4 linked regions of the Schizosaccharomyces pombe genome follow. The gene in region 2 interacts genetically with the main gene of each other region. Each region holds a gene or a part of one and is shown on either strand. Other genes may lie near its edges.

Region 1 (7,427 bases), 3.4 Mb from region 2:
TTTAGGAGACCACATGTAAATGTTCCCATTCATATCACCAGTAAAACACTGTTCAAAGTCAGGACGATAGGCAGCACAATTAATACGTTTTAAACTGTGGGTTGAAAGTCGGCGCACAAACGAGCCTTCTAACAAGTTCAATAAGGCAAGAGACCCATCATCGTTGGGGAATAACACAAAAACATCTGAATCCATAGAGGGTTGGATCATGCAAGGATGTACCGCGAAGGAAGTAGTCTGGTTATGAATAATAGGTCCAAATTCTCTCAATGTGTTTCTTCCACTTTCCATATTCCATACTCTTATTCGATCGTCGGTACCACAACTTGCCAAATATCGAGCATCTGAAGTCCAAGCTAATCCATTAACGGTGCCGTAATGAGATATATTTGTCTGGTTACTGGGTAAATACTTATTATGTAGATCCATACATGCGAAGCTGGATGATACTTTACGAATGTCCCAAAGTCTGCAAGTGCCATCTGCAGAGCCGGACGCTAACACGAATTCATTCTTAGGACACCAATCCACCGCAAGGACATTACCCGTGTGTCCAGACAAACTATGAGTATAACTACCACTTTGCATATCACAAAGCCGAATAGACGAAGACCGGTAGGCGGCTATCGTTAGATGAACAATCTCAAGAATGAAGAATATAACGTACTGGCAATTAAACAATGTGATGCAATGGGCGACCATGCATGTGAATAAATCATGTCCTCCATAGTAAAAGTGTAAGCTTCCTACCAATATTAGAACATTGGTTAATTTGCGATTTCTACTTTTATTACCTGTAAAGTAGAAACATCCCAAACCTTGAGCGTATGATCGAACGACGAGCTAGTAAAAATACCATTATCAAACGGAAACCAATGCAAATCTGTTATTCCAAACTTATGACTCGTTCGACTAAAACACCGCAAGTTAGCTATTGATCACTAGTGTATATATTGAAATTGTCATAAACTAGGTAGAAAATGAATGCTTACGCAGGAACTGCATTTAAGGTATCCAAAATTAAATCTTCATCTTCCTTTTGGTCAATATTTTGTAGGTCCCAAACATTGATAGACGAGTTGGCTCCTCCAGAGACCATGCTGTCAATAGAAATTGTTAACCAAAAATTGAAAGCTTTGATAAATCAACGATATAGGTCATACAGCTGATGAATTGTATTATCAATGCTTAGTGCATTTACGGATCCTAAAATGCCCGCACCGTGTCTACGTTTAATTTTCACATCCGGATTCAGCGCTAACCGTTGAAGACGATGCTGCAGTAGTTGCCTTCGAAAAGAGCTATTTGGCTCTACAAATGTGAGACTTGAAATCCTTATATCACATAATCAATTGCATTACCTTGGCCCCATTCTCGTGCCAATAAAAAAGAATTCATTCGATTTCACCTAAGAAATAGACTCAGATGCTACAGTAAGCAACTGACAGCTTAAAACAACCCGGTTTTTAAACCATGTATAACAAATTAAGTCTAAATAAAATTACAGCTAGTTTAATATGAGCGGTAAATAATACTGTCAATTAATCAACTTCTATGTTTAAATAGCAAACTCAAAGGTAGTTTCCAGGAAACAATAATAAAAAAATATGTTTTTCGACGTTGGCTAGACGCACTACTAATAACGGTCGTGGTGTACGAGATGGTATTGGCAGACGGTTTATAGAACTCAACCTCAACCATATGTCAGTTATTGAAATTAGATCGTACCAGCACTGGATCTCAACGATCCCTAAGTCCGGATATCTTGCAGTTGATTGCTATGCCGATTGGTGTGGTCCTTGCAAAGCAATTTCTCCCTTATTTTCACAATTAGCATCGAAATATGCTAGCCCCAAATTCGTTTTTGCTAAAGTAAATGTAGACGAGCAACGTCAAATTGCCTCCGGGCTTGGCGTCAAAGCAATGTATGTGTTTACCTAATCCGTCACTGTACCATTGGTTTTGCTAACATTTTAGGCCTACATTTGTTTTCTTTGAAAATGGCAAACAAATTGATATGCTAACTGGAGCAAACCCACAAGCTTTGAAGGAAAAAGTTGCTTTGATTTCCTCAAAAGCCACAGGAACTGGCGCTCTTGCTTCTTCGTCATCGGCACCTGTCAAGGGTTTTGCTAGCTTGCAAGGCTGCATTGAAAATCCCCAATTGGAATGTCTAAATCAACAAGATGATCACGATTTGAAAAGTGCATTTAACAGTAATCCTTCCTCATTTTTAGAGTCGGATGTTGACGAGCAATTAATGATATACATACCTTTTCTTGAAGTGGTAAAGGTTCATTCTATTGCAATTACTCCTGTTAAGGGAGAAACTTCGAGTGCTCCAAAAACCATCAAATTGTACATCAATCAGCCCAACAATCTTTCTTTTGAAGATGCTGAGTCATTTACTCCAACTCAAGTCATTGAGGATATAGTTTACGAACAAGACGATCAACCTACAATTATTCCCCTTCGTTTTGTTAAATTTCAACGTGTCAATTCTCTCGTTATTTTTATTTATTCGAATGTCGGAGAAGAAGAAACTACTAAGATTTCTCGCTTAGAATTATTTGGTGAGCCTGTTGGTGATTCAAGTAAAGGAAAACTACAAAAGGTCGAAGCTTAGGTGCTTAACAATTTGTTAACTAAAATCATGACGGTTTACGAATTTACCTTTATGAAAATCTAGTTTCGTATACATTACTCGACCAATCTGGTGTCTTGATACCAAAGAATACTACAAACCTTTCATTTGAGCATTGTAATTGCTGACTACTCACGAAATGGGAATATAAATGGATAATCTAATTTATATAGAATAAAGATTTTCTAAGCGGTAACGTTTGATAAATAAAATGAATGTTTTTTAATTTTGTCTCACGTAGAGGAAATTTTGTGAGAAATCCAAAAATTCCACATATTAACACTATGATGACCTTTCCCAAAGCTGAATAAAACTTTCGCCTAAACGAATCATATCGCTACTGATTTCTTCAACATATAAGTCTTGAATTTGATACCATTTATTGGTAGAGGGGTTTCGAATTTGAATTCGGAAGTTATGAAATTCTTCTTCAGCATGTGTCACGGACTCATGTATAATATTAGCAACGAGGTTGTATTTCGTAGAGATTTTCGGATTTGACTGGATAAATGAGTCATCAATAAATGGGCTCATATCAAAATCATCCAAAGGAAATGTCACTATAGTTTGGTTTCTTTCCGTAAAGTAATTGTTTTTCATAAATCTTTTGATGTGAAATATAAAGTATGGAGGAGCCGTCATTAAATGAAAACGCCGTCGCATACCTGCAAGTTCTTGGGTATGTACCCCATTATATTTGTTAAGTATCTCTTTTAATTCTACTTGTGGGATGATATTACCTTCAAACTCATCTTGGAATATGGGTTTCGGAGGTAAATCAAGAGTAAGGTAAAGAAAAGGGACGACGTTAGTTTGTATAACCCTATCACCAGTAAACACAACTTGCTCTCCCTTTTCAGCATGTTGGCGAATTTTCTGTGATTCAATACGTACAAATCCTTGAAAGCTGTAATGTACAATAGAAGTAGGTTTTGCTATGGTCGACTTTTTTCCACCAAGGCAATTGTGTAAAGTATTTAAAAACCAGGAAAGGAATTCTACTGGATCTTTTTGTTCATTAATAGAATATTTTTTGTGAGAAAGAACTGTAACCTCCTGAATGAGTTCTTGAGGAGAGACATGGCTCTTGAATGCTTTATGGTTCCAAAGTTTACGAATAAGGATTGCCAATCTTTGGACAAGTTGAGGGCAATTATCAAAGTTTTTAAGCAAAAAATAATTTCGAAATGGCTTAACATGGGCCAACATATGAATCACCACATTAAAGTAATCGTTATTTTTTATATTGTTCATGCCAACAAAACCTACAAGTGTTAGAACTTAAACCATTAAATAAAATGAATCCTATCACTTTTTCATAGTAAGCTTTATAAAAGAAAACAAAACAATTCCCCACGATACTTACCTGGAACATAGGGTTTGAGCATTAAATCGTAACTGAGCTGTGGTGTGTGATCTAGTCTTTGGACTTCTAGTTTCGTAAAAGTAGGTCGCATCACATAGGCAATATCTTGTAAAGCGCTGGATTCTACTTGATAAGATTCCGGCAAGACATAAAACTTTAATGTTGAGCAATTTACAAAAACATGATGATTTTCGGTGAGTGCATGGAAATAAGCATGTGATGAAGGTCCACGACCCTGGAAATATCTTCCACAGACTAAGCAAGCATATACACTAAGATTTGTCAAGGAAACGGAGCAAACCTTTTCAAAATCAAAATCTAACAATTTACGATTGATCTAATTAGCGTTAATTATAGAACAAAAATGCAGCAAAATCACTCTTACAGTGTCCAAATATAGGTTTTGTGATATTATTGGAGTTGTTTCGTGTTCTTCCATCTCTTTAGACGCAATATCATGAACATCTTCCATGTCTTTACCCAATTCGAGTTTTTTGCGTTTTCCATTATCAATATTATTATCTTCTTCAATATGGCGTTTTAAAATATTATTTTTATCCTTATTTTCTGACATTTTTGAAGCTTTACCATCTATCGATAACTTCAGTTACTAAGTCGTATGGAAGTATCTTCCACATAATTGCACTCGTCTAAGTCAACAGCAGATCACGCTCTTTCAAGTCATTTTCTACTTTTACTAGCTTTCTCTTTCTTATTTTCATATTTAATGTATTAAAGGGATATCTAAATACTATTTCAAGCCGGAGATTTCACATTTAGACCTGGTTCTCTGCTTCTAAAGCCGAAAGCGGTTATTAGTAGATTCTTCCGTAACTTTCATTTCATTTGGTTGATAGAATCTATCCCATCAAAATTATAACTTATTTTTAATCCTTTTTGATTAGATTTACATTACCCTTGTAATCCCCTGCCAAATATTATGGATTGGTAAGTGGTTTTATTTTTTCCCCTTTCGAATGCACAGTCTACTAATTATTATTAGCATCGATAAATCAATCAGAAGGGAATCTTTACGAAAACTTGGCTGCCTTCCCGATCACGGTTGGAATCTGTTCGTACAATCAAGTAATCGTTACTCAAAATTGCTTGAAGCAGATTCTAAGCTATTTAAGGCCCAAAGAATTGAGGACACTGTCTTGTCAATTTGTGAAGTTACTTTGGAAAACAAAGCCTCTGAAAATGCCTTGACTTTGTTCCAACAGCTTCGCTTTTACTTGCTGAATTATCTATTTTTGGAAGATACCTCGGAGTACAAAAGTGTTTTATGCTCACTTGATGAATCTGTCTATCCTAATCTTTTACCACTGACTGCGAATATTTGCCCATGTATTCTTAAGGCGCTTTTAGCGCTTGTCAGGCAGCATAGAGAATTATCTTCCGATATAGTGAAGTTTTTGAATAGCATTTTTTTGGCACTAACTCGTATTCTAAATACTCCTCATTCGTCAAATAATAATCCAACTCATACTAAAACGACAATCTTTGAGAAAGTGTTTTATGCCTCCCACCTTGGTTTCTTTTTTGAAGAAATAGCCGATGCTTGCATATCAGCTTTGCCGCAAGACGCGTGTTTATGGGCAATGGAGGTTTGTAACACGATACTCGTCTCAGACCTTCCGTGTAAATTAATAGACCTTCATAATGATTCTTTTCTTCACCATTCCAATTACTATGCTGGGTTTGGGTTGAGCTATTACCTTTACCTTTCATCTATGAAAGCATACATCAATTCTTCTGGTTGCCTTTGGTATGAAGATGCTACCTCATTTTGGGATATTGTGAAACATCGCCCTTCTTCTCCGGAGGAGAAGCCGTTTTTAACGCAATTCCAAAGCATCTTAAACCTTAGTGATAAGTTTTTGTCAAAAACTGGGACCTTGAGACTTCAAGAGAAGTTGGGTACTTCATGCAATTTATTTTTTGTACTCGTACTAAAATTGGCACTTCTATCCTCCTCCTACATTGGTTTTGTTCCATACACATATAGTGATTGGATTAATGTGTTGTTAGGTTCCATATCTGAAGATCCGGAGCTCTTACCTCATTTAATTGAACTTATGGCTTCGTTGGCCTGTGTTTTCCCCACTCATTTTCAGTTTGCTATGAAAAGATTGCGTTTAATCGCTATTTATGCCCCCCGCTTTGATGATGGTAATGTGACTTATGCTCAATTAGCCTCTAGAAAGCTTGCTCAACTTTTCAACTATTCCTCAAGAGATACTGCTATCACTTCAATATACCAGTTTGCCAACTTGCTGTCTCCTGCTGACACTCCTGATAGTTATCTTGCAGCTCCAAAAGAACGCCTTTCTATTAGTGACAATATGTCTAGTTCTTCTTCACAAACTGCAACGGTAAATACAATTTCAAACTATTTGAATGTTATAGATTCTGTTCGTGAAATTGCTTTGACAGTTAACGATGAGAAAATTTATGGATTAGCTATTTCTTTGTTGATACAAAAGTTCTCAAGAAAATTCGACTCGAGGGTGAGTACTGAATTAGTGAGAACACTAGCAGATATATCCACTAAAGCTAATGATCGTGACTTTTCAATATTGGTTCAGTTTTATTCTATTCAAAACAAAATGCTCGTGAAGAACGGTGATGAAGCTCTGACAATTGCTATTTGTGATTCCCGCTGTTTGATCGCTAGAGGTACGGAATCTAACTCTTTCAAGAGGTCAGATTTGTTGAAAAGTCTTCTAGAGGAGATTATCCATATAGGTATCGTTCGTGATACACCTGCCCCTGAACTGAAAGGATATTATTTTGGCATGTCTAAAGCCGTCCAGGCTTTAGTCGAGTGTGTTGCAGGTACTGATTGGAGCAGTTTGCCCAAGGAAGAAATGTATCCTGCACTGTTCCGTGACATGTGGTTTACTTTAGTCATAAATCGTTTCCGTTATTCAGTTGATTTAGGTGAAACACTAGAAGTTGACCTTGAAAATATTGCCAAAAATTCTCCCCTTCTTGTTTTTGAGGATTTTGGTAGCAATTTTGAGAGCAATTTGGAACTAAACACAGTCCTCAGGACTCATATTGAGCATTCAGTCATTTCTCAGATTAAATCAGAGTTGTTAGTCAGGGTCCCTAACATTGATCTTAAGCCTTTGAGTACTTCAGAAATTTGCTTCTTGTCTGCTGTCCTTTTACTTGAATCTTTGCGTTGCAAATCGAATAAGCTTTCTGCGCTTGTAGAATACTTGCTTGATCCATCTTTGAGAGACAGTCAACTCCCCCAATCTATTCGTGCTATTGCCCTATATAACTTAACATCTTTCGTTGAATCATTGTCCAAAGAAAGAAGAGTTGCTTCTTCTACTATCGACGAATTTCAAAAACTGTTGTGTCTTTGTTGTAATAGAGTTGATTGTGTACGACAATTGGCTTTGG
Region 2 (8,249 bases):
GGAGAACAATTGGGGCTGAATTGAAAAAGAGGAATCGTTCTGGAGCTATAATCGATCGACGATTTGGTGAGAACAATCCACATTTATCAGTTGAAGAGAAAATGTTAGAACGATTTAGTCGTGAACAACAGCGTCGTAGCAAAAGAGAGCTTTACAATCTAGATGCAGAAGATGTTTTGACTCATGGTAATAGGCCTTTGTCTGATATAGATTCCTTTGAAGAACCTGGATTTGGACTTGATGAAGGAGAGGAGTTAAACGATGAAGTAGTTCGTCGCATGCATTTTGGCGGATTTGAGGATTCTGATGCCGAAAATGAGAAAGAAGGTGAAGGTGCACATAAATCTAAACGTGAAGTGATGTCGGAAATTATTGCCAAGTCCAAGCATTACAAAGCTGAACGTCAAGCAGAGAAAGAAAGATATGAGGACGAAAGAGAAAAACTTGACGAACAGATGGAGGATTTGCAATCCTTTTTGTCGGATTATAAAAAAGCATCTAGGAAGTCCGGCATAAAAACACAACGACCAATAATTTCAGACGGAGATGCACGTTATGATTCATTTGTCCGTGAAATGGTTTTCGACAAACGCGCGCATCCTACTGAGCGTACTAAGACCGAAGAGGAGCTTGCTCAAATTGAAGCTGATCGTTTGCGTGAATTAGAGGACCAAAGAATTTCTAGAATGGAACATTACCAAGAAGATTCTGCTAGTGAAGCTGGTAGCATCGAAGATGAGCAAGCTACTGATAACGTATTTGGGTTTGGAAAAGGTTTAGAACAGGAAAATGAGGAGGAATGGAATGGAATAAATGAGGAAGCTGAAGAATCGGAAGATGAAGAGTCAGTAAATTCGGACACATCTTTTGTAGATGATGAACAGCTAAAAGTGGAGGAACAACCTTTAGTTGGATCGGCTATAAAAAACGAAGGCTCTGAAAAAGCGTCTTTAGCATATACGTACCCGTGTCCTACTTCTCACGTAGAGTTTGTTCAACTTCTTAAAGGCCTGGATTATAAGGATTATCCAACTGTAGTCTCTCGTATACGTACTTTGCATCATGTTAAGCTGCATCCAGATAACAAATCGCGCCTTGAAAATTTTTCTGTTATTTTATTACAACATATACTTCACTTAACTCGTCAACCTATGATTTCAATGGAGTTATTGGAGCATTTGACTGAGCATCTACACTCTTTGGCACAACAGTTTCCCAGTGCTTTAGGAATATCCTTTATTTCAGTTGTTGAAGGGATGCGCAAACGCCTAGCAAAATCTTATGTGTATCCGGAAATTAAGTTTCCTGAAATTTCTGACTTATTGTTTTTCAATCTGACTGGTTCAATCTTCCCAACTTCAGATAAAAAGCATATTGTTGTAAGTCCTGTTATGCTTACAATGGCAGAGTCTTTGTCCCAATCTCCTGCTGATTCTCTATCAGATGTTTGCAAGAAGCTGTATATTGCCAATTTATTCTTGAAGTTTCAAAGTTACAGCCACCGTTATGTTCCTGAAGTTATAACGGCAGTCTCACAGGCACTTTATTTGCTATACCCCAATTTCATATCTATAGTACCAGGAACATTTGCACTTCCTGATTCTTTGAAGGAAAAGCAAAATTTATTCGCCATTCAAGATATATCTCTCGATGAACCTCAAAGGCTAAGCCTATATGAATTAGAAGAGTTACCGACAGGGCTTCTACAGTCTTCCATTTTATTTATAACTTTAAATTTGATAGAAATGGCGATTGACATTTATTTTAAGGAGCAAGCTTTCATTGAAATATTTGTACCCATTATGGACATGTTACAATTGTACTCTTTGAAAAAGGAACTTTTGAGTAAACGTTTATCGGAAAAATTATTATCTACTTTACAGGCTGTTTCCGATTCTATTGAATCAGCTAAAGCAAACCGTAAACCATTGGCTTTACAATCTCATCGTCCTTTAGGAATTACTAGTCAAGTTCCTAAGTTTGAGGAAGGTTATTCTCTTGACAAAAGCTCCCATGATATTGATCCCGAAAGGGCTCAACTCAACAAGTTGCGTGCTCAACACCGCGATGCCAAGAAAGGAGCTATCCGCACTCTCCGCAAGGATGCCAGGTTTATTGCTAGGGAGAGAAGGCAAGAGCAACGTGCTAAGGACCAAGCCTACAATGAGAAAATGCGGAAGTTGGAAAATCGTTTGCAGCATTTTGATCCGGCTGTCTAGAGAAAGTGTGCATTTCTTTAAGTTTTTGAATTTAAATTATAAAGGGTAGTATAGGGATCATTAGGGGAAAATTTATAGGTAATTGATGATTTTAGCTTAATACTTCCAGCCAAAGTCCACTATTACTATTATATCAATAGTAAAAAAACTTATATAATTTTACATACATACCATGCGTAAACTAAGGTGTAGAAAAAGGGAAACAATCATTATTATTGCTCTTCGTGTAAAAATAACTACGAATCAAAAAGCCATGTATCTATAGTAAACAATAATTGATAAGATACTCCTAAAATTATTGGATAAACAAAAGAAAGGAAAGGAGCATACAAAATGCATATGAATACCAAAAAGGGAAAAGGGAATCAGTAACTATTCTAGATTAGTTCTAATCGGTATCTTCCAATTCTTCAAGGTAATGCATAGCCAATAAAGCTGCTTGACAACCACTTCCAGCAGAAGTGATGGCTTGGCGGAAGACCTTATCTTGAACATCACCAGCGGCAAAAAAGCCAGGAATTGAAGTACGAGGAGTTCCATTAATAGTTTTAATGTAACCGGCTTCATCAAGCTCAATTTGTTCAGCTACTAACTTAGTAGCAGGGATATGTCCAATAGCATAAAAGAGTCCGTTAACCTGAAGATCAGAGACTTCATTCGTGTTGGTATTCTTGATACGAAGGTTATTGAGCAACTTGCCATCGCCTTGGGCCTCCTCAGCAACGGTGTTCCACAAAACTTCCACCTTAGGGTTAGCCAAAAGACGCTTGGCCATAATGGGAGAAGCACGAAGCTTGTCACGGCGCACAAGGACATAAACTTTGCTACCATACTTTGTTAAAAACTGGGCCTCTTCGGCAGCAGAGTCACCACCACCAACGACAGCAAGAGGCTTGTTACGATAAATGGGAACGGCACCATCACATACAGCACAAGCAGATATACCTGCTTGCCAATAAGTATCCTCACCAGTAATGTGAAGGCGACGAGCGGAAGCACCAGTAGCCAAAATAACGCTGTCAGCGGTATGAGGCTCTTCCTCTTCAGCACCCTCCAACCAGTACTTGAAAGGGCGAGAAGAAAGATCTAATTTGGAAACAGTCTCGGTAATAATTTCAGTTCCAAAACGCAAAGATTGAGCGCGGAAGTTTTCAGTAAGGGTAGTACCATTGATACCATCGGGAAAACCAGGAAAGTTTTCGACATCGGTGGTAGTAGTAAGCTGACCACCAGCAGCAATACCGTTGGCAAGCATACCTTCGTACATTACGGGCTTAAGCTCACCACGGGCGAGATAGATGGCTGCAGTATGGCCGGCGGGACCAGACCCAATAATAACAACCTTGTTGTGAGTCACTAATGAAGTCAGTAAAATTAAAAAAACAAAACAAAAAAAGATAAACGTTAATGTTGTAAGGCGAGAAGGATAGAAAAGCTGAAAGAACACAAGATAACCATTATCGAACAATGATAAAAAAACAGATGAAACCCAATCTTACACGTGAGTTCGGAAATAAAAAAGTTTCCTACTAATCAACAAAAAAAAAGAAAAAAATTCATCACCGAATTAGTTTTATTTTTAGGTAATAATTTTTTTTTTGTTGGGTTCGACTTCATCGCCGTCACATTTCCTGCACGTTTTTCGTTTCACTTACTATTGATATGAGTATTTGTAGAGAAATATGTTTGTTTTAAAGGGGAATAAATAGATCCTAACTTCAAAGATTTCTTAAAAGAATCGGGTATGCCTTTATAGAAGCTAAATTTCTGATAAGGAAAGAATGTCCTGAAGTATCGAAGGAATGCGATATGGTGGTAGTGGGTAAATTGATTCTTATATAGAGCCCTGGGAAATGGTGTGCTTACTAGCGATGAATAATGAGACTCGTTCGAGACATTCGTAAAAGTGCGAACGCTTAGATTAACAGTGGCAGAACGAGACACCGATATCGCGTAAGCAAATTTAATGCCAACATGGTAGAAGAGGGTATAGGAATGTCGAGAATTAGTGAGGCCACGATAAATGGACGAACCACCAAAGCCATGAGTAAGCGACGCTTTGTACATGAAAGACGACTGACCTATGCTAGTACAATAGAAAGAACTCGACAAGAAAAATCCACGTTTTTGTTAGTTAAGAGTTTAAGCCTCCACAATCCAAACAAATTGTCAAAGAGACGCGCAGAAAGCAAAATTCTCAATGTAGCCGTGCTGGGCTACTTGCCTTACTAAGGTTTTAACCAAAAACAAGTATGATTCAAGTGCGATTGGTGTAGCCTAGAAAAAACAATTGCGAAAAGTAATTTCAAGGAAACAAATTTTAGTCGTTTACAACCCAAAAAAGAAAAATTTGCTGTTCCTGCGATCAACACTGCTTAATAATTTATTTATTAAGGTTACCAACGAGGAAAAATGTTTTACGCTGAATATTGTGATTTGATAAAAGGTATAACGATAGAATTTATAAATAATAAATTGGTTTAACGTTCAACGAAGAAAGTACGAAAATTGGGTTTTGGCTGCTATCAACATTATCGAGCTTTAAGGTAGCACGCAGCATTGCTTTACAATAGGCCAGTTTTAGATGTGAACGGTACGAGGTCGGGAGGTCATCGTTTTCTTGTAATGGTACTCGAGATGTTACTCACTTAATTTTTCTGTTTTCTAAGTGCGTACTACATATTGTACTAATAGAGTTTCAATCGGCTACTATCCTCTAACCCATGTTCCATATTCAACAGCTGCTCTCTTTCTCGCTAATCATGGTTAGTGTATTGCATCTAGCCTACACCCCAAAAACACAGGTAGCAAATAAGCTCACTCATTTCTCGATATGGTGTAACGTCGAATACCTGGCAAGAACCAGACAATCGTTTATTCTTGTATTTTTTTAATGCCGATGAATTCCGTGTTAGTTATTGGAAGTGGATTTTTAGGAGGTCATATCATACGGCAGCTGTGCGAACGTGAAAATCTTCGAATTGCTGCATTTGATCTCTTTGAAAATGAAAAGTTGCTACACGAGCTTCATGGTCAATTCACCATGTATACGGGTGATTTAACGAAACAAGGTGATATTGAGCGTGTTTTTGAGGAATTTCATCCACGCGTAGTTATTCACACTGCTTCACCTGTGCATAACCTTGCTCGTGATATTTACTTTGAAGTGAACGTAGATGGCACAGCGAATATCATCAAAGCATGCCAGAAATTTAATGTTGATGCCCTTGTTTATACTAGTTCCGCAGGTGTAGTTTTCAATGGTGCTGACCTTATCAATGTGGATGAGTCCCAGCCCATCCCAGAAGTTCATATGGATGCCTATAACGAGTCCAAAGCTTTGGCAGAAAAACAAGTCTTGGAGGCAAGTTCTGAATCTTTAAAAACTGCTGCCCTTAGAGTTGCTGGTTTATTTGGTCCAGGTGATCGCCAACTCGTCCCTGGTATGCTTTCTGTTTTAAAGAATGGACAAACCAAATTTCAATTGGGTGATAATTTGAATCTTTTTGATTTTACCTACATCGAAAACGCTGCCTATGCTCATCTTCTGGCTATGGACAATTTACTTTCTAGTAATCCTACTGCCAATGGCCAAGTCTTTTTCATTACCAATGGACAGGTTATTTACTTTTGGGACTTTGCACGTGCTATTTGGGCACATGCAGGACACGTTCCCCCTTATATCATCAAATTCCCTAGACCGGTGGGTATGCTCTTAGCCACTGCTGCTGAATGGGTTTGTTATTTCTTGAAAAAGGAACCTGGCTTTACACGTTTCCGTGTCCAATTTAGTTGTGCTAACCGTTACTTTAACATTCAAAAGGCAGAAGATGTTTTGAAGTACCATCCCATTGTGGATTTGGAGGAAGGAATTCGTCGTACTTTGGCTTGGATGGATACTGAGAAAAAACATTAAATTGAGCCATTGGCCTTGTTATTCTTTAAAAGAATATTTAATTTTTAAATTCTAACGCTTCGTAGTCTTTTTTCATTTCTACATAGTTCACTTTCTTCTCGATGAGTTCTACCTCTTGAGCATGTCGATACGAAACAGTTTTTTTCCGCTTTGGAAATTGTTAATGACTTATATCATCATTTCATTTGATAGATGATTGCTCAGATCTTAAAAAAGGAAAAAAAAATATTTGGGTATCTTGGAATATAGACAAGATCGAATAACATCAATATAACGTTCTCTTTGTACTTTCTACTCGTTGTGCTTGAGACGAGAAGGATACAGCTCGTTTGCTTTTGTTATCTTTCTTTGAACTATACGAAGATTGTCCGGTATCACTTGTGTTTAGAAAACAATGGTTATTTCCTTTACATAATGATTGCCTTGTAAGTTTTTCTCATCTGAGATGTATTGATGTATTATAAGTTTCGAGTCATTTTATTTCGTAGATAAATGAATAGACACACTTCATAGAAACTGCTTTTATTACGCTTGTAAGTTTTTGAGATTTCTAATGTAAAACATTGTGTAAATTCTGTATTTATTTTTTAATATGTATGCTGCGTTGCAAAGTTTGCATTTATAAAGCCATTAATTTGTTGTTCTAAAAATATCATTTTGATCTTTGAGAATCCTAAATATCTGTTTCTTTGTAGCCCAATACTACCAATTATTAAGCTGCATTGTTCGGACAGATAAAAACTTTTTTAGCTACTATCAACCACCAAACAAAAACTCACAAGGGCTTGAATTTGTACTTTTTGCTCAATAAAATGGCTAAAGAAGCATTGGAATTAAAAAATGAAGCCAACAAGTTTCTAAAAGAGGGACATATCGTTCAAGCTATAGATTTGTATACAAAAGCCATTGAGCTTGATTCTACAAACGCAATTCTTTACTCCAATAGATCTCTTGCACATTTAAAGTCAGAGGATTATGGTCTGGCAATCAATGATGCTTCCAAAGCTATTGAATGCGACCCCGAATATGCAAAGGCATATTTTCGTCGAGCTACTGCTCATATTGCTATTTTTCAACCCAAAGAGGCTGTCGGTGACTTCCGAAAGGCATTGGCACTAGCACCCAGTGATCCAGCTGCTCGTAAAAAGCTTCGTGAATGTGAGCAATTGGTCAAAAGGATTCGTTTTCAGGAGGCTATTCATAATACTGAACCTCCTTCACCACTTGCGAATATCAACATTGAAGACATGGACATTCCTTCTGACTATGATGGTGTAATATTAGAAAAGCAAATAACGAAAGAGTTTGTTGAAGACATGAAGGAACGCTTTTGCCAAGGTAAAAAACTCCCCCTAAAATTTGCATATAGCATATTGCGAGACTTAAAAGAATTACTTGAAAAAACTCCTTCTTTAATTGACATTCCTGTTAAAGGGGATGAGACATTGGTTATCTGCGGTGACACCCATGGCCAGTATTTTGACTTGTTAAACATTTTCAAACTTCATGGTCCTCCAAGCCCTACTAACAAATATTTATTCAATGGTGACTTTGTCGATCGTGGTTCGTGGTCCACTGAAGTCGCTTTTACTCTTTATGCATATAAGTTATTATATCCGGACGCTGTTTTCATCAATCGCGGTAATCACGAAACTGACGATATGAACAAAGTCTACGGATTCGAAGGTGAATGTCGTAGTAAGTATAATGAGAGGACATTTAATATTTTCTCGGAAACTTTTTCTCTGCTACCTCTTGGTTCCCTAATTTCCGATTCTTATCTTGTTGTACATGGTGGCCTATTTTCTGATGATAACGTAACATTAGACCAACTACGAAACATTGATAGATTTAGTAAAAAGCAACCTGGACAATCTGGGTTAATGATGGAAATGCTTTGGACCGATCCACAACCTGCTCCAGGACGAGGACCATCGAAACGTGGGGTGGGTTTACAATTCGGCCCTGATGTTTCAAAACGTTTTTGCGAGGCTAATGGTCTTAAAGCAGTGATCCGTTCTCATGAAGTCAGAGATCAAGGCTACGAAGTTGAGCACGATGGTTATTGTATTACTGTGTTTAGTGCTCCTAATTATTGTGATAGTACCGGAAAT
Region 3 (7,242 bases), on a different chromosome or scaffold from region 2:
TAAGACAAGGGATTTATTTTCAGTGATTCATTAAAACAATTCATAGCCTGCAATAGGTCACCTTTTTTGTAATAATATTTACCCAAGGACCGTTGAGCCGGAGCAAATCTTTTACAGGATAACTCCCATGCTTCAACATAATGTTTTGGATTGTTTTCAATATCTCCGAGTAGAGTACGAAGTAAAAAATCATATGGATCATTTTCCAATTCTCGCTTTATTACTTGAACGGCCAGATCTTGACGATTAAGTGAACAATGGCACATCACAACACAATCCCACATTTGTAAACGTTCAAAAATTTCGAGGGCTGATTTGGTGGCACCAACAGAGATGAACCTTTCAGCCAATTCAGCTTCTAACTGCCATCTAGATGGCATCAGCAAATTATAAAAGTAATTGAGACGTTCTTTCAACGAGGCAGAGTTTTCTCCATCTTGCGGTTTTGGAAGGAAAGATCCCAAACCTTCATCGTTCTCTGGTTTATCTACACCTTCAGGTGATTTACCAAAACTCAATTGATCGTTAAGTTGATCTAACAATGCTTGCATTTGAAGAACACTACGTTCAACAGTTCGACTTTTAAACCCCTCGAGACGAGCACGTACAAGCAAAGCCATTGTATAGACAGACCAATTAACAGGATAAACCAAAACGCGCTCTGCGTAAGGCGCCATTTCTTCACGCGTAAGTCCATCATCAGGATTGTTATTCTTTATGATATGGCAAAATGCAAGTAATAGAGATGCGTCCAATGGATCAAGTTTCGAGGGATGATTGGGATCTTCGGATGACAAAATCGGATCAAGTTCTTCAGAAGGAGCCAATGATTTTTGATCTTCTTTAAAGGAGATTTTCTCCAAAAGAGTATCATCATTTAACTCAAATGTTATCGGTTGAGTGCTAGTTGATTTGTTCTGCTCGGTATCTTTGCATCGGTCTCTAGACTTTGCTAAAACAACTAGCTGCGAAGTATCAAACGTTTGGAATTTTGTGCGTCGACCAAGAGCACCAGTTAATTCAAAATGAAAGTCCATTACTTTTGCTGATTCCTTCATCAACTGCAGAGCTAAAGTATCACGACCGTAATAAGATTGTATGAGGCCCATTTCCATAGTAAACCGCCCTTGTAAATCTCGATCTAGTGAAGAAACATGACTACTCACGATATGCATGCCTTCCATTATTTGATTAAACAACTCTGAAACGTGCTCTTTAAGCATTTGTTGGTGCAAAAAATCAAGGCGAGCTTTATACCATATGTGCAAAGGATCTTTGCTATTTGCGTAGTTAAATAAAGTCTGCGAAAGTAAAAGAAATAAAAGTTTTGGTGCAAGTCGATAAGGCCTTTCTCCTTCCACAGTTAAACTTTTTATAATGGCATCCTTTAATGTAGCCTCGTCGCGTAAACGCTGTGGAAGCCATATTTCAGGCTTAATGGGAAGATATGGTCCAGTATAATTATTCTGAATAAAATATTCCAACATCTGTATTGCAGTCTCAGCGAATTGATCACTGCTGACATTTTTCCCTAGCGGCTTTGAATCCCAATATTTGAACAAAAATTTAGGAATGTCAATACTAGGACAGAAAAACTGATCATATTCTTCTGTGCTTTTTAGAGAACCTCCAAAAAGGACCTCTTTATTTTCTATTGCTACCATTGTTTGGCAAAACTGAAAATTTTTGATTCAACAAATATATTTTCAGACAATCAACCTATTAAGCATTTATCCCGTCTAATAGTGGAATTTCTGTATTTAAAACAAAAAGGAAATCAATTCAATTCAGTAGTGAGTAAGGAAAATAGCTATTTTTTAGTTTGCTACTACAGGAATTGAAGATTGGAGTTGGGAACTCTGACTAATGTACCCAGAAATTTATAAAACCCAATTTTCAAGAATAGGTTCAGAAACTCTTCGAATTTACAGAGGTCTAATGATAAAGGATAAAAATGGCATTAATATTCCTTGATTTTGTTTTACCAGTTCAATAATTAAATTTTCAAAAATTTAAATCAGCTAGTACAAATTGTGCACAGATGAGTTACTTAATAAAGTAATCGAAAAGAGCAGTATTTCTCGAGTGATTTATTACTCAAAATAAAAGCAAAATTTATGTGCTATGTTGTAGTTAGTAGCTAGGAAAAACAGCTGCATCTAAGTTCTATCATTAGCTTTAAAATACCACAGATTTAGATTTAAGAGCTTTATAATACAGGTTTCTTCAGTTTGAGATATGTAATTTAAAGAAAAAAATTTATTGCTCATAGAATTTCATTAGGCAGTATTAAAAAGAGAGTCGAGCTCGCCCTTCTTGAATAATGCTTGGAAATCCGAGTTACCACCAACATGCTTTTGGTGAATAAAGATATTGGGTACGGTACGTTGACCGGTCTTCTTCAATAAGTAAGCTAATCAAGGAGGTTAGTATGCTTTTTTTTATACCATCCATTTTATACAGACTCAAGGTCTATTATATTATAGACAGATCTAAACTAGCATCAAGCAAAACAACAGATGCAATAAAAACTTACATTGAATCTCATCACCGTTGTTCATAAGGTCAATCTGGTATACCTGAGCCTTAATTTTCTTATCAGCGATCACCTTTTCAGTAGCATGGCAGTAAGGGCTAAAATTAAGAGTTAATATCACTGCTTAACAAAAAAAATTAAGTAGTCGGTTCTAGGCATATGGAAGTGTAATTTGTTAAAACAAAAATACAAGCGTTCAAACTATGGTAAGCCAGTGTGACAAATACACGCCCTTATGCAACGATTACTTTACTAAGCAAACGTACCAGTAAGACTTGGCAAAAACAACAACATCGTTGTCAGCAACGGCAGAGTCAACCTATACAGAAATGTTAGTACCCTGTAAAAGAACATTTTACCAAAATTCAGCGACATTGTGGTTAATCTCTGATTCTAGCCAAACGGATACGTACAAATGATTCAACACTAGACATGGTTCTAATAACGTAACAAACAAAAACCTTTAAATTTGGTGGTATGTGGTAGGCAGATATGTATTATCAGTTGTGTATTATATATATGTGCATGGTTTTCCATATTGCTAATTCATACGTCAGTGGAGCACGTATCCCTAACGTTAGAAAAGTCTAGTAGACTTATACGTTAGTAAACGGTTCAATAACCGAAAGACTAGCATATGGCAGGGAATATAATGAATTTTATGATTTTTATTATTTTTTTTTTAAAACCGCCTATAATGATTTCGTGCAGAGAATTGTACTAGTTGGATGTTTTCTGTTCTGTATGACTTGTTTATTCTAGCGACTTAGCGTGCTTTGCATTGTTATGAATAATAAGACTAAATGATTGCGATTTCGAATAGATTTCATTTATTTACAAATCTTATGAGCTCTGGCTACAACAATTAATTAATTAACGGATTTAAAGTGCATAGAAAAAAAAAGGCTAACCTATTTTTATAATTGCGTATGTTTAACTTGAATTTTCGTTATCTGTTAAGTAATAACAGTCAATCAATTGAAATAAAAATTGTGAATTGAGACCAAATATACCTTCATCGAAAAACCCTGCTTAAAATCTTTTTATTATCTATTTTAGTTTTCTGTGTCGATTTGTTACGCTAAACCATTTTTAAGCTTCTAATAAAGCAATGATATTACCTTGCTCAAAAACATTTGCTCTTGATCAACTTAAGCTATGTTGCCTACCCATTGACATGAACGTCAACAATTTAGCTAATTAGATAAACTAATGATTTACTATTTTCCTTTTTAGAAAAAAATTCTGGAAAATAGAGCTGTAAATCAATTAGCATTTTAAATACATGATTCGATGTTTCATCTGCTAACTTTAATATACGCAATTAAGTAGATATTTTTGAATAATGACTCTAAGAACGTCTCAGCATTATACAAGCATATCCTTAAAGATTTTATCAGATACTTCCTTTTATATTAAAAAATGAAAGGTTGTGATTCAAACACGTTGCTTATCATTTAAGATCGTTAGGGAGGGCTATAAACAAAAAATTGGAAACTGAGGATACTTTACAACAGCGCTTTGATCCTTCCCAAAGAAAGATTCATAATTTATTTCCTTTAAATAAGTACTTTTTTTAAAAAGCTTAAACTATTTACGACTAAGTCACTAAAATTCGTAACCAGAAAATCATTAAAAAGCTTTATATAGTGAGGGGTAACGATAAGTAAATCCACCATGCTAATCTAAAAAAATGTACTCGCTAGAGATGCAGAGATAGTTTATATTGAGAATATTCAAAAAAATATTATTTTACTGTTTACCATAGCTTTCGAACATATCACAAAAGAGGGAAAAACCAGAGCCTTTTTATTCAGTGTTAACTGTATTTTGAACTAGCAAGGTTTGACGTTACTCTATTGCTCTTCTCCCTTTAATCTTATTTTGTTTGAGCTTGTCTAAAAAAAAAGGTTTCTCCTCTAATACATTAGAAAAATTTAAACGCTATCATGACAACTTGTTCAATATGCAACGAATCAGAAATAAAATATAAATGCCCGAAGTGTTCATTTCCTTAGTATGTGCTTGTAAGCTCAGAACAATGCATTTTGTTTCAATACACATTAACCCATGAACCAATGCTTTATTCTTTTTTTCTGTTTCCTAAAAATACTAATATAGAATTAATAGTTGTTCATTACCTTGCTGGAAAATCCACCAAAGTCAATGTGAGACTGTAAATGACAATAACACAACAACATTCAAAGGAGTTAAAGAACCTTTAAACCCCCCAGAACCTTCTCCTAATGTTATCTACGTTAATGGAAGAATCCCAAGTTTAGCAGAAGAGGCATTGCCAAGTGAAAGTCTTTTGGAATCTATTGTCGAAGATCCTAGCATAAAAAATTTAATTGAAAGTAATGCCGAGCTTTTACATATAATGAAAGAATTAGTGAACCTTGACCGTGAGGAAGAGGGTTCTGTTCCTCTGAAAACCTTAGATGCTATTCAGCAACAGCGGCTACACAATCCATCTTTCGAAAAACTGGCATCCATGATTCTGGAAAAATATTATGCTCAAAAATAATGGGTTTTATCATTGTAACGAACATTTAGAAGATTCAATTCAAATCGCATATCGGTTATTGGAAGTTGAAATATCAAAGGCGATATTTGAACCAAGGCGAATTGTTTACGAAAGCAACACATCCATTTAAAATTTTTAAAAGTAACAGCGTTTACACGATGTTAATACATAGCAAATACTACTTTTTGGTTTAACTATGAACATTAATATTTATTCAATACAATTTCCTCTCCTGAACCCGTTTATTTTAGTTCGATGTTAAGTATATTGTTCTATACCCTCATAATCTCGTAAACCCCATCAATCTGGTAAGCAAAACAGATCCTTCCGTAGCTATAGCAAGATGTGATCCATCTTGGTGCCAGCAAAAGTCAACGATGGGCATACCTAATTGAATAGGAATTGAATTCGAGTCCTTTTCATATGTATTAATGAGCTGTATTAAGCCGTGCTGAGAATGTGCCGTAGCAAAGTAATCCATGTAACGGGGATGTGGGCAAGCACCAAGCAAGGATGGGAACAATGAAATGCCTTGCACGTTGGGCAGTAGATTTTTGGGTCCCAATTTCATAGTGGAATCCGAGATTTCATTGTAATCGTTATTAGCAAAAAGATTCCAACGAAGCCAAGCCCCACTTTTACACATTGCAAGTATACCGCTTCCATCACTTCCGATCCATCGAACGTTAGCTAAAGAGGAAGCAATGCCGCTACTATGACAGGTGTTAACGAGTGGCAGGGTATTCAAAGTCAAAAGCCATGGATTTTTAACCAACTCGGTTTGAGAATTTTCTTCAGCTGATAAATTCAAAGTCCAGTCAAAAATCCTAATATTACCATTCCTTTCTCCAACAATCAATTGATTAGGATTAGATGGGCGAAATTGGACACTAATACCAGGGGAAGACAATGGGTATCCAGCTAAAATAGGCCCTTCATCAGTCAGTCTCCATATAATCAACGTACAATCGTCGCCCACAGATGCTATCACCTGCTCAGCGAGACGATTATCAGCGGAATAGACGTCTGCAATATCGATATCATTCACAAAATTATGATGCCCAGATTTTCCGCCCAACACATGTTGAGTAATAATGGTTTCATTCTTTGTAATTATTAGACGAACTGTATTATCCTGACACACACATGCAAGAAACAAAGAATACACAGGTGAGGAATTCACATTTCCATCGCCATCATGCAAATTCTCAGAATAACTACAGCTAGATGAAAAAGAAAGATGCAAAGTGGGTAACCCAGTTTGAATAGTGAACAACTCTTGTAATGTCAAACCTGTAGATCCGGGCGTCTGTTCTTCTGAAGCACAATAAATAGTGATACCCGTATCATGGCCTGTATAAGGTTAATCATTAGTTTAAAACGTTTAGAGGAATGCTATTTGAAGATAATTGTTTCATTAGCACTGAGGTTTTCTCAAATATTGTAACTTAGGAAAACAGAAAAGAAGAAATGAGTAATACGTAAATTACCATTCGTCGTAACATTCAGATATCTTACATACCTATGGCAAGAAGATTTGAACAGGAAGGAGACTGGGAACACCAAGTCGTTGTATACGGGCGGACATTAAGAGGCAATCTAATAAACAGAAGTTAGAAAGAGACATAAACGAAATAACGCTGAACGTACTGATACTGGTTAGAGGAAAGAGTCATGACGAAAAATAGTTTTCAAAAAAAACGGAAAGAATGAACGCTTTATTGTGCAGACAATAAAAAGATAAAGAAATTAAAAATGCATTTATATATACAAATGGAAAAAGAGAAGTTTCGGCCACGTTTTCTAGTGATATGGTGTTGCAGGTAACTAGTGGGTTACGTGAATTGGATGAAGCTGAAGAAAACGTTCTACCTTACGGAGCCAAAACTACCACCATTAATTTACAAAAAATCAAACGAAAACCTATACAAAGCAGTTTAGATAATGAAACACGATAAATATAACCATTTTAATGCAATTACTAAAATTTGTACTTATACTAAATATCTTTTAATAATTTAACTTATATTCAATTAACAAATAGAGTGTTTACTAAATACATCAAAATAAAACTATATGTAAAAAAACCAACACGATATTCCACTGATTTATTGCAGAACGAAAAGTAATAATTGCGTTCCGTATGAAGTATACAGCGGTTTTATTCTTTCCAACACGT
Region 4 (8,289 bases), on a different chromosome or scaffold from region 2:
ATTTATTTCTATTTCTATTCCTACTAATAAGAGACAGTTTTTATTTCGTCAATTTCAGTTTTGCTCTTGCTTGACTTACCGAAATGCTCAGCTACTTAGTACATCAACAATAAGTATATGAAGAGCAAACGTATTTCAGAATTGACAAAAGTGACCAAAAATGATCAAGAAAATTGAAAATAATTGAAAATGAAATCCAAAGTAAACGTTTGTGTAATCCTCTATAAAGGTAGACGTATACATACTTCAACACGTAAAATTTGCCTGCTTTCTTTTCTTCAATTTCAATAGTATAGAAACTTTTTTTCGTCATATTGGATCATTTTCATCATTGAATTATTTCATTTAAACTTTACATTTCTTCTTTGGTACCTCATATGTTGTACTCTGTAAATGCCGGCCGTTTTTTTCTCTTGGAAAAATGGGGTCAAATTCGTTACTGAACAGGCTACATCTAGACTTGACTCGATACATTGATTAAGGCCAAATAATTTGGCTTTATAAATCTTTGGCTGATTTACTCAAGGCGGCAGACGGATCCGTTTAAAGCTAATGTGCTTAGAAAAAGATAAATAAAAGTTGCAGTTTATGAATCCTATGTAGCGACTATGACACTCAGTAACAAGATTTATTTTTTAAGTATTGAGATGAAAAAAATTTGAGATTCAACTTTTATTATCCAGGAAATAACTGAGACACCTTCATTTACAACAAACGCTTGCGATTTATTTCTAATAATGAATGAATAGTATCACCCACCGGAATACTTTTTAAAATAATAATTCGATCCCTTTATCGCTTTATTACTTACCAACGATATTAGTGAGCCGAGCAGTGATGACTAGACGAATGAATTAATCATGTTGAGTTTTAACGTAATTTAGCACTACTTTCAAACCTCCTGTTAATCATTTTAAAGAACGTCATGGTACAGCTCGGAAAGCCGGTAGAATATGGGAAGGCCTCATTTCTACAAAACCCAACTGTAAAGAGCTTTGCCACTAAAGGTGACCTTTTAAGAGCACATTCCATCAGTGCTAATAATCATTAACAACATATTAAATTATAAAGAAAACTCAGTAAGTTTACTGAAGCGATTAGGCTGTGTAATGTGGTAAACTGACAAACACGACTACTAACAACTACTAGGTCAGTGTTATGAACAGAAATCGAATTTACGACATTGTACAAAAGGGATCGGTATCGATTCTAATTTTCGGCACTGTTGGAGGCACTGTTCTTCTTGGCCAATCTTATTATTCTCATAGGCAACGGCGTTTAGCAGCATTGCAAGAGTTTCAACAGGTATGAATTCCAACTAAGGGAATTGGACGTGTGTAACTAATTTTTCAAACGTTCTAGAGAGAAAAGATAAAAGAAGAAGGATTTGCAGAGGATGAATTTAATCAACTCGCCCTCAAGTAAGAAAAAATGGTGCTGAAAAGCTGAAGCTATCAGCATCGTGAATTTTCGAGGACTTTGTGAAGTCTTGGAGAGGGAAATAAAGAATAAAGCGAAATCTAAGTAACTATTTTGTTTACTAAGTTGATGCTGTTTCTGCACTTACTGATGATGACCAAAAAACACTATAGTTCTCTATATAGTGAAATTTAATTCTGCCACCTATAACGTCCCCTCTTTCATGAACAGCAGTTAATGGCATTTATGCTTAAAGTACTTTTACCAACTAAAAATTGAATTCAACATAAAACAAGCTTGTGAATACCACCTTCAATCTTTGTTTGACGAGTCAAATGGTAGTAGTTTATTTAAGCGAATGTAGAGTGAGCGATGGGAAACAACAACGTATGGGTTATATCTTCATCCGCTGAATTAAAACATGCATGGAAATCGTAGTGTTTATATCGAACCTAAAAAATTAGTCAGACCAACGAAAGAAAAAATTCCTTATTATTATTACTTCGTTTTGCTTGAAATTTGTGATGTAGAGGAAAAGAAGGACTTTTATTAAACGTATCATATTCTATTTCACACATTCCTACGGATTGCCTTTACACGCCGTCCATACCTACGGTTTGTCGGTCCTTAGATTGTTTGCATCTCCCATTTTTTTTTTTTTGTAAGCAAGGGACTTGTTTCACTTCCAGCCTTTCTTCGACCTTAGACTTGCACTCCTAAGTATATTGGACGAAAGTATTCTAATTTCAGTAACCTCCTTATCTATTTCACTCTCCTAGTCATACTTCCGATTTGTGCACATTATACCTCTACGGGAAGCTGTGCACAATGAATCCACTTTCTCAGTTCAGTTAATATAGAATAGAAAAAATTTATAATTTAAGAAATATACAATGCGCCCATAAAACACGTTTCCAAACTAATCGATCATAAAATTACCATAACTTCCTTTTCTCACTCACCCATTTCCCGATCTTAGCACATCAACCCGACATCATTTGAAATTAAACCATACTTTTGTGAAATCAATTCTTCAAGCTAAACAAACCGCATGAATACAGGCCAAAATCTACATGCTTGCATATCCTATTTTACCATACATCTGTTTTATTTACTTCCCCAGGAAACACACTATACTCTGCTAATCTACCAAAAACACTGGTTCCAAAGGGTGCATGTCCAGCACAAGTTTGCGACTGAAAAGTCTAGCTTTTAATTTTATTAAGCATCTTTCTCCTCTATATCGACTTGCAGTAGAATTTCATGTCAGCGTCTGTGTCTAGAAACGCTGGTTTTACTAATCGCTAACGATGGGATTTGCCCGCTTACGTTAGCGATGGTGTTGGGAGATTTGATATGGCCAAGTAACGGTATGAGCGCATCGTAAACATTGGCTGAAGGGTGGATTTTGGCGACTACGATAGGCTGTAGAAGAAGTTAATTTGTCATTGTAGCTTCGCTAATAATGATGCTCTTTGGCTCACTAAGCCAATGGAATCTCGGCCATTTGCGTTGGTAAGAGTTTTCCTATTGTGCAAATATGACGTTGGTAATTCTACACCAGACAATATATATAGAGGCAATTGCAAGTTGCTTGAATATACAGCTTTTCACGTAAAAGTAATAGCTTTTGAATAGAAGAATACTATAAGTTCTTCTTTGTGTGTGTGTGATTGTAATTCCCTTGTTCGAATATCGAATTATAGAAATTGTGGTTGTGTCTTGAGTGATTTAGTTAAAGACTCGACACTAATTTTTTAAAAAAACACAATTTTTTGACTGTCTTTTTTTTTCCCCTCCTAACTCTTCAAAGTGTCGGCTTTTCGCATCTTTGAACGTTACTGTCTTGGTAGACAAGCTAGTTTAAAATCATTTGCTCGTCGTTCAACTAATTCCAAGATTAACAATAATAAGCTACTCTTTAACAGATTTGCATCTTCTCAGTCTAAGGATTCAAACATCAGCGAAATGAACTCGAAAGACTCAAATACCGTCCCTGTTTACACCACCAACACCGGTTGTCCCATTTTTAACCCTATGGCTGCGGCTCGTGTGGGTAAGGGAGGTCCTGTCTTACTTCAAGATTCCCATTTAATCGACGTCTTTCAACACTTTGATCGCGAGCGTATTCCTGAACGTGTCGTCCATGCAAAGGGTTCCGGTGCTTTTGGTGAATTCGAATGCACCGACGACATTACCAAGTATACCAAACATACCATGTTTTCTAAGGTTGGTAAGAAAACCCCTATGGTTGCTCGTTTCTCCACCGTCGGTGGTGAAAGGGGTACTCCTGATACTGCTCGTGATCCTCGTGGGTTCGCATTAAAGTTCTACACCGATGAAGGTATTTTCGATATGGTTGGAAACAATACCCCTGTCTTCTTCCTTCGTGATCCCGCTAAATTCCCTCTCTTCATCCATACTCAGAAGCGTAACCCTCAAAATGATATGAAGGATGCTACTATGTTTTGGGATTACCTTTCTCAAAACGCAGAGTCCATCCATCAAGTTATGATTCTTTTCTCTGACTTGGGTGGTACCCCTTATAGCTACCGTTTCATGGATGGCTTTTCCAGTCATACCTACAAATTTGTTAATGATAAGGGTGAATTCTACTATTGCAAATGGCATTTCATTACTAATCAAGGAACCAAGGGTTTAACAAATGAAGAAGCCGCTGCATTGGATGGATCCAATCCCGACCATGCTCGTCAAGATCTTTTCGAAGCTATTGAACGTGGTGATTACCCCAGTTGGACGCTTTACGTTCAAGTTATGACCCCTCAGGAGGCTGAAAAATATCGCTACAACATTTTCGATCTTACTAAGGTCTGGCCTCATAAGGACGTACCAATGCAAAGGGTTGGACGCTTTACCTTGAATCAGAATCCTACCAATTTCTTTGCAGATATCGAGCAGGCTGGGTTCTCTCCTTCTCATATGGTTCCTGGTATTGAAGTCTCAGCGGATCCTGTTTTGCAAGTACGTACATTTTCCTATCCTGATACCCACCGCCATCGTTTGGGTGCTAATTTCGAGCAAATTCCCGTCAATTCTCCTAAGTGTCCTGTCTTTAACTATTCTCGTGACGGCCCTATGAATGTCAATGGAAACCAAGGAAATTGGCCAAACTATCCATCCTCAATCCGACCACTTGCTAAAGTTCAATATGAGCCTGACGAAGGTCACGAAAAGTGGGTAGGTCAAGTTACTTACCATATGGACGAAATTACCGACGTTGATTTTGAGCAACCTAGAGCGTTTTGGCAAAATGTTTTGGGCAAGAAACCTGGACAGCAAGATAACTTTGTTAAGAACGTTGCCGGTCACTTGTCTGGTGCTATATCTCCTGTACGTGAACGCCAATACGGTGTATTTACTCGTGTTGATTCAGAGCTTGGTCGCCGTATTCGTGAGGCTACTGAAGCTGAAGTGAAGAAGATGGAAGAAAAAGCCCCCAAGCCAATTAACAAGGGCGAACCCCATATGTTCCAAGGAAGCTCATAATGCGCTTATGCGAAATTAGTTTGTAAAAAATTTGAGTCAGCTAGGTTTATCGGATGACTACTATTTTATTCTTTGAATGCGAGACATGTGTAATGCCGTTAGAAATTTATTTAATTTGATAAATGTTAATTAGGAAATATATATTTTAACCTCAATAAGCACATAACATTGATAAGAAAGCAAACAATCTTGACATATTAGGTTAACATATAAATAAGGTCTAAGGCTTATTGTGTTTTCCAAGTCTTCTGCCGTAAATTTCTTAATATCTGTACCAGATGAGGAAAGGAAGATTAAAATTTTGTAATCAATTAGGAAAGCTTAAAAGCAAATTCATGAGCCACACACGATATTCGATTACTTATGTAGCTAGCAACAGTAAATTAGCACTTTTAAAGCCAGTTGTCATGTGCATTAGATTTATGTTTTTTGCAGTATTTGTATCTTTGTAAAACAAGCCGAAATATTATATTGAATAAATTTGTCACTCATGGTGTTATTATTCCTTTAGTCTCTAGTATTCAAAGCCAGTTGAGGTTTGGCCGGTTTATCAATGAAATTTTCGAATAACTATTAACATGAACTACTCGTAATAATCATACTCGAAACAACCCTGTCATTATTTAAAAAACATTGGGAGAACTCGAGTGTCTCCATCGACATCATTAGCGCTATATGCATTCATAAATAGTTTTAAATTCAGTCTTGGCTTATAGATATAACGTCTTTGCTGATGATGATAGAAATCTTCTTGAGGCGTATTTGTAACATCATTGTGAAGAATTAGAGGAATTATCATAGAAAGCCGACATAGTGAATTTGGTGGCAGTTTATACCATTTTATAACTTCAAGAATATCAGAAGAGGTAGCTTTTTGTCCTTAAAGAACAGCCGTTGCTAAAATGTCAATTTCTGAACAGTAGGTAAAACTGTAATTAATTCACTACAGCTGAAGCTTTGACGTGGGCAATCAGTCATCTTTACAATTAATTTTATTAAAAATTTTAACGACATTTCTCCAAGAGTTTGTAATTGTGCTACCTCAATTGCAGGCACTGAGAGTAAAAAAATGGGACGACTAGTTCCGTTGAGGGCATTTGACATCTTTGATTTTGCCGAAATTAATTAAAGAGTTTTTGACACTAACTTCTTTGTAGCAAGATTCTCCGTAAAATAATTGACAACCCAATTTGCAGACGTGAGCGTCTTGTTTATCATGATCGAGGGATCCTACATAGCCACAGCAAGTATATTTACAGTACTGGAAAAATATCAACTTGAAACTTAATTATGGACTTCCTGAGCCATGAAAACACACCACTCTTGAGGTTTTATCAGGATTCACCATTAGTTAATTAGTGATGGCTTGACGCTCCTTCGTCTTCCAGCAATCATCTATGGCAATGTTCTCATGTGCATAGTCAAGCATTTCCGATGACTTTATTACTTCATAAAAGGTAAAAAAATATTTTAGCTGATGTTACTTCCAATTTATTTTAAGTATCCCAATTTTAAGGGCAGGCACTTCACTCAACATAGCCAAACCAATAGCAAACTTACAAATACAAGATTCTAGTAGGGAGAGTATAATTAATGATTCCAGAGATGAGTGAATAGAAATTATGAAGGTTTGCAAAAGAAAAGTGTTTTATGATCTTACAGAACCTTAGGGAAATCGTAAATTGGATATGCCCAGTAGCATTCAATTGAAATGTCCAATTTTTCTTCAATTTTAACAAAATTTGAGTAAAATTTGGCAATAAGATATACCTTGAAATACTGGAAAACAAATCTAAATGACACTAGATCTAATCGATCTATTTATACTTAAACCAATCTACTTCGTAAGATGATGGAACGAAAAAACAACTTAAGTTACTGAGAAATTTGATAATTTTAGTCCGTAGTCCATGACTTATTCTTGAGTGTGCCGTCAAAGATTTCTTTCTCCTATTGTTTGAATTATTAATGTATTCCCTCCCCGCAATATTCCTAAATTCATGAAGTTTAAAGTTTTGTTAACCGAGGGGACATATCCGACGTCAATATTCTAATATTTTACGGAGTTTTATTCTTTAAGACATTATACACATCGTCTCGACAGTATGGCTTTTTTCCTTTACTTCATTGCAAGTTTCAGATCGCAGAAGGGTTCCAACTTTGCTTCAATACGATTGAGTGCGTATAAAGCCTTTTTCTGTACTTACCTCGTTTTACTTGTTTCTCTTAAAAAACTTTTAATAGCTTTTCCTGTTAGATTCTTTTGATAGTAAACAATAGTTTGAGGGTTATGGGTGTATTTATTACTGTATACTTTTTGTCAATAATACAAAAGCTGAGCACATTACCATAATTTGTCGCTACAAGCATTGCAGTTTCTTATCACCTGTTGAGATTTTTTAAATTTAATTTTACTATCCAAAATTTATTTACTCCTCTTTGTATAATATAGTAATGTTTAATGTAAGTATTTCCATTGAGCTGACTTCCAGTATGACGCTGACTTAACGCTGATTAACGAAATCATGTATAAATCAGGCAAACACAAATACTAAATCAGCGTCTTAAGCACTGGTATCTGCACTTAGTACTAATTTCAGCGTTTATATTTTAATACAACCATAAAACAATCCTTCTTTATATTAGTTATCCTAATCAAATTGTTACCGCCTACCAAGGGTTGTCGCTTAAAATTTGGAAGTTAGATAATAGATAGGCTACTACTACACCATAAAATCATGAACACTCCCATTACTGCTCGAGTTCAATAACCGTCTGCCTATTGTACATAAATTCAAAAATAACGTTTATTGTATGACAATGAAAATTTCTGTTTGGAGCCTTTTAATAGTTATCGGCTACCACCTTTGGATGTCACCCGTACTGGCGGGTCCCCTAAATTTTGGTTATTTGTCTTGGGGGCAACACTCCATACTTGAACAAGACTCTGTACAGCTTATTTCACATCAATCATTATTGCCAGCTGGCGACAACTTGATTTCTCTTCATAAATCTTTGGTTGAAATAGAATCTCTTGGTGGGAATGAAGTAAATGTGTCAGATTTCTTAAAATCCTACTTGGAGTCCAAGGGTTTAACCGTCGAATTGCAGCGTGTCTCCTCTAACCCGACTGTGCGAGACAACGTCTATGCATATCTAGGTAGTCAGAGAAACACCAAGGTTGTACTGACAAGCCATATCGACACTGTCAACCCTTTCTTACCCTACTACATTGAAGGCGATAAAATTCATGGTAGAGGTTCCTGTGACGCAAAAAGTTCAGTTGCTGCACAAATCTTTGCAATGTTGGAACTAATGTCAGAAGGAAAAGTTCAAGAAGGTGATCTTTCGCTGCTGTTTGTC

What was found.
Region 1: of trr1 (region 2) and txl1, changing one enhances a phenotype caused by changing the other (phenotypic enhancement), as found in Schizosaccharomyces pombe (one study listed by BioGRID).
Region 3: mutations in trr1 (region 2) and grx1 are lethal when combined (synthetic lethality), as found in Schizosaccharomyces pombe (one study listed by BioGRID).
Region 4: mutations in trr1 (region 2) and ctt1 are lethal when combined (synthetic lethality), as found in Schizosaccharomyces pombe (one study listed by BioGRID).

Annotation. Positions count from the first base shown.
Region 1 is NC_003423.3:761,753-769,179, reverse strand, and holds txl1 (thioredoxin-1-like protein Txl1), read left to right. Parts: upstream 1-1,689; 5' UTR 1,690-1,701; coding exon 1,702-1,925; intron 1,926-1,977; coding exon 1,978-2,626; 3' UTR 2,627-2,828; downstream 2,829-7,427. Other genes in the region: DNA repair ERCC8 family protein ckn1, read right to left, coding at 1-623, 668-746, 795-912, 993-1,100, 1,164-1,311, 1,362-1,398; ubiquitin C-terminal hydrolase Ubp10, read right to left, coding at 2,927-3,909, 4,011-4,347, 4,396-4,584; 1-phosphatidylinositol 4-kinase Stt4, read left to right, coding at 4,951-4,958, 5,014-7,427. UniProt on the Schizosaccharomyces pombe protein: Has a role in cellular detoxification of alkyl hydroperoxide.
Region 2 is NC_003423.3:4,185,593-4,193,841, reverse strand, and holds trr1 (thioredoxin reductase Trr1), read right to left. Parts: upstream 4,044-8,249; 5' UTR 3,876-4,043; coding exon 3,875-3,875; exon of another isoform or gene 3,576-3,874; coding exon 2,608-3,575; 3' UTR 2,394-2,607; downstream 1-2,393. Other genes in the region: U3 snoRNP protein Nop14, read left to right, coding at 1-2,219; erg26 (3 beta-hydroxysteroid dehydrogenase/delta 5-to-4-isomerase), read left to right, coding at 5,113-6,135; SPOM_SPBC3F6.01C (serine/threonine protein phosphatase), read left to right, coding at 6,948-8,249.
Region 3 is NC_003424.3:4,869,997-4,877,238, reverse strand, and holds grx1 (glutaredoxin Grx1), read right to left. Parts: upstream 3,021-7,242; 5' UTR 2,971-3,020; coding exon 2,950-2,970; exon of another isoform or gene 2,856-2,949; coding exon 2,803-2,855; exon of another isoform or gene 2,635-2,802; coding exon 2,537-2,634; exon of another isoform or gene 2,469-2,536; intron 2,414-2,468; coding exon 2,280-2,413; 3' UTR 2,188-2,279; downstream 1-2,187. Other genes in the region: ceo5 (TTC27 family TPR repeat-containing protein), read right to left, coding at 1-1,664; hit1 (HIT zinc finger domain-containing protein), read left to right, coding at 4,486-4,553, 4,667-5,063; nup37 (nucleoporin), read right to left, coding at 5,344-6,416, 6,586-6,662, 6,714-6,739.
Region 4 is NC_003421.2:53,564-61,852, reverse strand, and holds ctt1 (catalase), read left to right. Parts: upstream 1-3,019; 5' UTR 3,020-3,387; coding exon 3,388-4,926; 3' UTR 4,927-5,199; downstream 5,200-8,289. Other genes in the region: cytochrome c oxidase assembly protein Cox14, read left to right, coding at 1,159-1,305, 1,363-1,425; SPOM_SPCC757.06 (uncharacterized protein), read right to left, coding at 5,824-6,030, 6,074-6,187, 6,245-6,274; SPOM_SPCC757.05C (peptidase family M20 protein involved in glutathione catabolism), read left to right, coding at 7,741-8,289. UniProt on the Schizosaccharomyces pombe protein: Catalyzes the degradation of hydrogen peroxide (H(2)O(2)) generated by peroxisomal oxidases to water and oxygen, thereby protecting cells from the toxic effects of hydrogen peroxide.